2 linked regions of the Drosophila melanogaster genome follow. Changing the gene in region 2 together with the main gene of any one other region gives a genetic interaction. Each region holds a gene or a part of one and is shown on either strand. Other genes may lie near its edges. The genes, in order: wit and Neto.

Evidence for each region.
Region 1: of Neto (region 2) and wit, changing one enhances a phenotype caused by changing the other (phenotypic enhancement), as found in Drosophila melanogaster (one study listed by BioGRID).

What each region holds. Positions count from the first base shown.
Region 1 is NT_037436.4:4,070,118-4,074,043, forward strand, and holds the start of wit (wishful thinking), read right to left. Parts: upstream 1,601-3,926; 5' UTR 1,292-1,600; intron 165-1,291; exon of another isoform or gene 66-164; coding exon of another isoform or gene 1-65. Other genes in the region: CG32259 (uncharacterized protein), read left to right, coding at 1-65; Faa (fumarylacetoacetase), read right to left, coding at 1,968-2,314, 2,373-2,974, 3,035-3,252, 3,637-3,723.
Region 2 is NC_004354.4:13,443,849-13,447,774, forward strand, and holds the start of Neto (neuropilin and tolloid-like), read left to right. Parts: upstream 1-2,054; 5' UTR 2,055-2,429; intron 2,430-3,926.

The sequences.
Region 1 (3,926 bases), on a different chromosome or scaffold from region 2:
GCCAGAAAAAACTTTGGAAGATGCGTCAACGCGATAAAGCCCAGTTGAAGAAAAGCTCCGAATAGAATATTTTCTGTTCCTTTTCCATTTTCGTACAATATTTCTTGTATCATGATTATAATAATGTTCAATTTATAGAGCAATTATAATTTCGAAGGGACGCTATTTCTGGCCTTTCTTTTCTCCCATTTCGCTTCTGGTTTCCTCTCCTTTCTCCACTTTCAGCAAATGCGCACATGAAGAGAACTCAAGAAGCTAGAGAGCGGTGTCTCTGGCGCGCCAAAACAGGTTCAACTGGCGCTGTCCCAAGTGCTCCGTGGAGTGGGCCGAAGGAGGACCCGCGGGCGAGGAGGCGGAACCCGCCGGCTGCTCTCGCACGATAGCCGACGGCGCCAGTTAATTGCAAATACTGCTCGATACCCTACACTTGTCAGGGTGTACCCAACACGCTCTAAAACTATCTTGCATTAAAATCTTGCACCAATAAATTTTCCTAATACTTATGAATTAAGAAAAATCACATTGTAACACAGGAACCTATGTTAGTTTATAGTTCGTTTTATCACAGGGTATAAAACTGTCTTTAGGCTCACATTCTCCTTCGCTGTTAGTGTGTTTTGGGCCCCACCGTTTTGTTGTTCTTTGGGGCCTGATTAACTTTTTGCGTGCTGCGTGTGCATTTGTCCATGTCCCCATCCTCAGACACATCCGCGCCATTCGGGGGATACATCTTCGTGCTGCAGATGCATTTGGCCAAACTGCGACAGTCGGTGTAAAAAACGATGTGGAAAATCAATGCAAAAACACAAAAGTGCATGCAGTCGGCGGAGGACAGCAAGAACAACAATGGCGAAGGGAATTTGAATGGGTATGGATTCGGAGGTCTCTTGTTGACTTCATTCCACACAGTAAACAAATGGGTTGTATATTATTTTATAATGTATCCAAAATACGAATAATTTCAATGGCCCCTTGATCCTACTACTCGAACGCAATTGTTCTACATACATATCTTTAAAGAACATCCATATGCATACTATGTGATAATGTGCAAAAGATATTAACATTTCTAACAGTGCATGTGTACTGTGAGCAGACAGAGTGTTTTCTGCCAGGGTGGGTGGCCCACCCCAACCCGCCGTCTGCCCTTCGCTAGTCAGCGTATTTGTGTGTGTGTACTTGCGCAGAGTGGAGTAAAAAATTGATTTTTCCAAGACATTCAGCGTTGTTTGCGGAAAACATTTGCACTATTCTGCACTAATTTTAATTTCAATTTGCGAGCAGCACTTACACTTAATTCAGGGCGCTATTCAACCACTGCACTTGCACTTTAAGTTGTATTACTTATTTATTTCTTTTGTTTTAAATAACCGAAAGAAGTTGCACACTCGTCGGAAAATTTATTATTGGGGCACCGGCGCCAGTCGCGTCTGCTTTGCGCTGCACGGCAGCTTTTTTTATTTCTACGCTTTTTAGAGGCTTTTTTATGGCACTTTAAACAAGTTTGCCCGATAGGCGGGCCGTTTTGCCTTTCTGCCGTTTTGCCGTTTGACTTTTCGCAGCGCGCCCACCTTCGCCCGCCGACTTTCGAGGAATGAATGCGGTTTGCTGCTCCGCTCAGCTATGCTCCCATTGGCGCTCTCCGCTCTTCTCTGCAGCCAAAGAAGAAGCGGCGTGCGCGTATTTACGAAGCTGCGTGGAATGGCAGAGGCTCCGATTGGAGCGAGAGTTGTGTAAACGAAAGAGAGCAAGGCATCGTAGCGAGAGAGCGAAAGAGTTGAGCACTTGTTGAGCTTATTACTGTGCACCGAGAAAAAATATTACGTATACGCTACTATGGATGGCCATTTATCCCAAAAAGTATGCTTTTGAACGAAAAGTTGAAGTTTTCCGAACATCATAATGTATTGACGTATCCAGGAAGACTGAATAGAATTTATTTCATTTACTTATGTTAATAAGTGGTCCTACTGCGGAACGGGGTGGGCAGGCAGCACCTGACCCACACACTCCCCGAATCCGATTCGCAGTCCGTTCTTTTCGCAGTGGCCACGGATGATGACCTCGTCAAAGTCCTGGAGGAATTTTCTGGTCTTACCACCCGGAAGCTCCAATGTTTTGGTGCCCTTCCAGCAGAGCTCTAAAAGTGATCCGTACGAGTCTGGAGTCTCACCGGAGATCGTTCCGGAGGCCATCAGATCACCAGGACGCAGATTACAACCGGTGACTGTGTGATGAGCGATTTGCTGCAGTGGAGTCCAATAAAGGTGTTTGAAGTTCGACTTTGAAATAAGCGCTTCGTTTTGATCGGCGGCTGAGAAGGGGAAATTTTGTGAATTAACGTAACAAATCTTTAACAGGCGGCAACTTACGTTTCAAAGACACCTCGAGGTTGATATCAAAGTTAAAGGGAATGTTCTGGCGCAGATAGGGAAGCACCTCCGGTTCCTGAGGAAAGTTGTCCAAGACGAAGGGCTTCAGGGCAGCTGTGGGCACTACCCAAGGGGAGATGGTGGTTCCCAGATTCTTTGCGGTGAAGGGGCCCAGTGGCACATATTCCCACTTCTGAATATCCCTGGCACTCCAGTCGTTCATCAGCGTGAAACCGAACACGTTCTTCCAGGCCTCATCCACGCGTATGGGTTCACCCAGCTGATTTCCCTTACCACCGATAAAGAAAGCCATTTCTAGTTCGAAATCCAGAAGCTTGCAGGCGCCAAAGACGGGCTTCTCTGCTCCATCGGGAAACGTTTGACCAAGAGGACGACGGATGGGAGTACCGGAAACCACCACAGAACTTGCACGACCATGATAGCCCACCGGCAGATGGCGCCAGTTGGGCATCAGAGCATTGTCTGGTCCACGGAACATAATGCCGACATTGGTGGCATGGTGGATGGATGAGTAAAAGTCTGTATAGTCACCAATCTGTGCAGGCAGGTGCAGCTTGATCTCAGACTGTGGCACAATGGAACTGATAAATAAATAAATTATTAACTATGAATAATAAATTATTATAATAAATCCGACTTACACCGCCTTCAAGTCCACATTGTGGTCCAATTCTGAACCCTTCGTCAATAGCTTTTGAGTCTGGCTTCTTACCACATCCCAAGCTTCAAAGTCCAATCCCATAAGCTCATTCAAAGTTTCGGCCTGCAGGCTTTTCTGAACTTGGAAAGGAAACAACTGCGAGACAGCTTTCAGGTCCAGGACATGCTCTCCAATGGCCACACAAATACGGTGAACTTTCTACGGATGGTAAGATGAAAAACACCATTTACGATATACAAATACGATATATGATATGGGGCCTTATCAGAACCTGGTTGCTGGGGTATTAAAGATTGGATTAGCATATTGTTTTCGTAAACAAACTAGTTTGTCTTGGATGATGTATGCAAATGCTATGCCCCAAAGCGGTTTCTGTTCTAAAGTTGATTTCTAGAACATGTGGAACGATCCAAAGTCACATGAAACTGAAGAAAAACTTGAAAATATTACACGGAAAACAGGCTGAGTTAAAGGAACATTTGCTTTGCCATTTACCACTTTAGTTATCATTTACAACAGCGAGACCATTGTTCTAAAATCTCATAAAAATATAAGATTTGATTTCAGTATGATATCACTCACATTGTTTTCGGTTGAGAAGACAGCGTAGGGTAGATTTTCCAGCGGAAAATCGCTGTTCTCTGGCACTGGCACAAAACTCTGGGACATTTTAAAAGCACTCAAAGTGGAAAACTTGGGCAGGTTGGTGCGAATCAATAAAGTGAAGCAGAGAAGCGGAAAAAGCGTGCGCGGAGCCAGAGTGAGCTAGATAACAACTGAGGGATTTTCTATTCACGATCCGCCTTATATAGGTGCTCAGACCACAAGATCTTTCGGCTCTCTTAGCAAAACCAAGCCCCCAAAGGTAAAGA
Region 2 (3,926 bases):
GCAACACTTTTTTACGCTGGAATTTCAAGCTGGCAGACTCAAAGGATACTCTTTGGTTAAGGTTAATTGGGTATTAATGTGATTACATCGATTTTAAGTCACAGCTGACGGCTTGTTATAGTTTGCATTCGAAACATCAGTTTATTTTATATTATTTTGCAAACGTGCTAAGCTTGGGAGAGGTAATGAAAATAATGACAACTTCTCTTTTGGTTTGCCTTTCGTTTAAAACTTAATCAGGTTATCAAGTAAGCGTAACTACAACCTACAATTGGAAATTTTATATGTTTTTGCAATAATAAACATCAGATTGTTGGTTATACTTTAAGGTTTCCATCAGCTTAATAATCAATTTAATTTAAGCAGCTCGAGCAATGACATAGATTTTAAAATTGGTTAATTTGAGAGAGTATTAGATGATAGGCTTCTACTTTTATTTGAGGTGTTTAACGCGTTCTGTCATAGCAACGCTTCGAAAGCTAATATAAAGGCAATTAAGAGTGTCTGGAGAAACTTCACGTAATCTGCGGGATCTCAAGTTATTAAAAATATGTTGTAATGAAGGGAATGTAGTTTTTAAGAGACCACAGAAGTCGTTTTTTTTTTTTATTTCGCACACATTTCGTACAATGTATGCAAACGAATCGCAAAGGAAATATCAAATCGCTTGAGGCTTTAAGAAAACCACATTCACAACAGTTTCCACAGTCTGTGATCCAGGCATGTCATTTGACATTTCACCAAAAAAAAAAAAACGAAAAAAAAGAAGAGAATAACAACAAAAACACAAAGAAAGCAAAATATAACCAAAGCAAATAAAATAAAATATTTTGCGAAGAAGCCGAACAAAAAATGAAGACAGACTTTGTTGTCCTTGTCAGCGTGGCTACAACTTCCTTGGCCCAGGACGACGTCGGAAGTGCCAGCGGAAATGAGTAAAAAACCTACAACTCACTCAAAATTCCCGCTCACTCCCATCTCACTCGCACTCGAACAATGGGAAATTCCGTTTCGAGTGAAATTTTGTGCCACAAACGAACGCACTTCGGCTGCTTTCGGCCATCGCCTCGTATTCCCACTCACTCGACATTGAGCGTTTGTGGAGCATCCTCAGAGATGCCAAATATTTTGGGGGGGAAAAAAAGCTGAAAATAATTATTTTCCAATTTCTTAAGGTTCGCATGAAACCCGTATACTTGCATCATTGTTTAACGTTTTGGTGAAATGTTGTGATAAAATGAGTTTAAGTTTTAAAATAAATCGCACTATTTTTTGGCTCTTTACCATATCAAAATGTATATACTAAAATGAGCTTGAAAGTGGGCGGCGAAAATATGTTGATGTTAAGAAATGCATCTGGATATCGAGCAGACGTTTCCCATAATTTATTTTTATTAAGTTTTTATTTCTTAATCTCTATAGAAAAGCAAGATATTATAGATCACTGTCAGTTTTCATATTCACATCCGTAAATCTAATAGGAAACAATTTTTGTTTAAAAGAAATAATTAAAAGCTAAGATCCGTCATAAATAGTACTGTCAATTTGAGAGGCTAGAAAAATAAGATAATACATATCAGCTTATAATTTTTAAATTTCTTTTCGGGAAATTAATTTTTAAGCGTGGGAAATGGACAAAAATTGCTAGATTCTCGCAAGTATTTTATTTTATGGTGTGATATTCTTCTAAAATTAGATATTTTTATTAATACGTATTTTTTTTTTTAACAAGTGGAATCCAATTAGTTTGTTTTATTATGTTAATGATTGTTAGTATTAAAAAAAAAACTTCTATAGATATTGGGCAAACAACTCAATCAATTTTAGGTAGTAACATAATAAAGTAATAAATACGAATACAATTCTTTTTGGTTGATAGAAAAGAATAAGACAGTGAGCGGCTGGAAAAACTAGCCAGAGTTGTCGGGAAAGCCGGCTAAGTAAGCAGCACTGGCGGGTCGACAACAGCAGTGGCAGCATCCGCCGTGGCAGCGGCAACAGTCGAGCGGCAGACTCGATGCAGCAGAGCCACAAATTCCGGCATTACGTATACGCCCAGTCTACGTCGAGTTGGCCACGTGTACGGACACGCGGCGCGGTTCGCTTTCTCCGGTGACAGCACATTCGATATTAACGTTTCACTACCAAAAAAAAAAAAACATCGCGATTGGTTGCTAATAGACAAGCACCAGAGATACGATTTTAAAATCTTAAGGTTTTGCTTTTGTTCAAAAGAAATACAAATTTTTTTGTTTGGTTGTTTGTGTGACAGTGACAGTGCCAGTGTGAAAGTGTGTGTGTGTGAAAAGCTTGCCGGCTTGAAAAATGCGCGCCAAAAATTGAGATATTTTCGCGGAGCGCAGCGGCAACAAAAACAAATAAAAACAACATTTCGCAACGCAGCCAAAGGAGGCGACAACACGCAAATAGTAATATATACATATATATATAAATTAAACATATGCACATATACATATATATATTAGATGGCAGCTTTGCAATGTAAACAAATTATATTTCCGTGTTTTCTTAAAATAACAAATCTATTTGCCGATATTTACCAATTAATTAGTGGGCTAGTGACAATATTAAGTTGCAAAGGATAACAATTATAAAATAAATACGTATACTGCTGCATTCCGCATAATAGGCAATAAATATGTTTGCGAATATATTAATCAAATCAAGGCATTATGGCTGTGGTAGCTGAATGAAATTTGCATAAATCAAGCTTCAATGATCCAGAGGGCACATTAGTCTCTTTTAGCCTGTAGTTGTAAAAGTTGTTCGGTTTTAGCCAACAAAATGGAAATGAAAAGGCAAAAAGTGGATGTGTCATAAAAATTCCTTTTGCACAGAAGGCGTCCATTATGCGGATTCTAAAGCAATATTAAAATAATCTCTAGTAATTTCCTAGTAAGTGCCCACTTAAATGAGTTTTTCTTTTTTATTAGTGCGCTTTAAGTCTTTGATTTTATTTTAATGCGTCTTGGGATATATTTATACATATTATTAATTGTTAATTTGTTCAGCAGTTTTAGATCGAATATACTTGCGATTAAACATTTCTAAACATTTTGAAAAGTGTTCGATTTTTTGTTGTTTTTATTATTTATCTCATATAAGCTACAATATATGTTGAAAGATTTCGAATGAATGTTTAATTTAAACTATTTTGTCGCATTCGTTTGGAAACTTCGACCGTATTTTCTATGTATCCCGTATAGATAAGTTTGGGGCCACTTAGCGAATTGGCGGACATATTTTTAGACATAGCCCAAATAGTAAAAAAACAAGAGCAGAACGAGTAAGCGAAGAGGGGAAAATTGTATAAAAACCAAAGACACGAACGCAGAGGCTATAGAGAATTGGTGAAAAATGAGAGAAATTCATTAATAAAAGACAGCAACAAAAACAAGAGCAAAAATTAAACGGCTGCCATCAGGCTTTCCCACTTCTCTCACCAATTTTCCCTTTCGTTTTCCCGCTTTTCCTTGTCCACGGCACAGCTGTGATCACACGAAGAGAAAGAAAAAACAGAAGAAAATTCGGAAAAAAATGAAAATAAAAATTATTACATATGCGTAATGGGTATTTTGTGTTGTTGCTGCTGTTATTGAAGAAGATTTTCCAAGCTACAACTACAACAATTCCGTTAGCGCCAACTTTGACGAAGGTTTTCCATCGGCTTTTCTTTAAATACCCTCGCGAATACGCAGTGTATGGATTAGGGATTGATGAACTATGCTATTAGGTTAAATAAAAATATACTCCGCAAAACAATAATAATCATTTGGGCTTGCAAAACTGAATGCAATCTTTATTTATTGCATTAGTAGATTGAATAAATTAATTGTTTACGGGGTATTGTGTTGGTTGTTAATTGTCCATTAACTTAATTTCCCAGTGTTTTCTCTGTTTTGTTG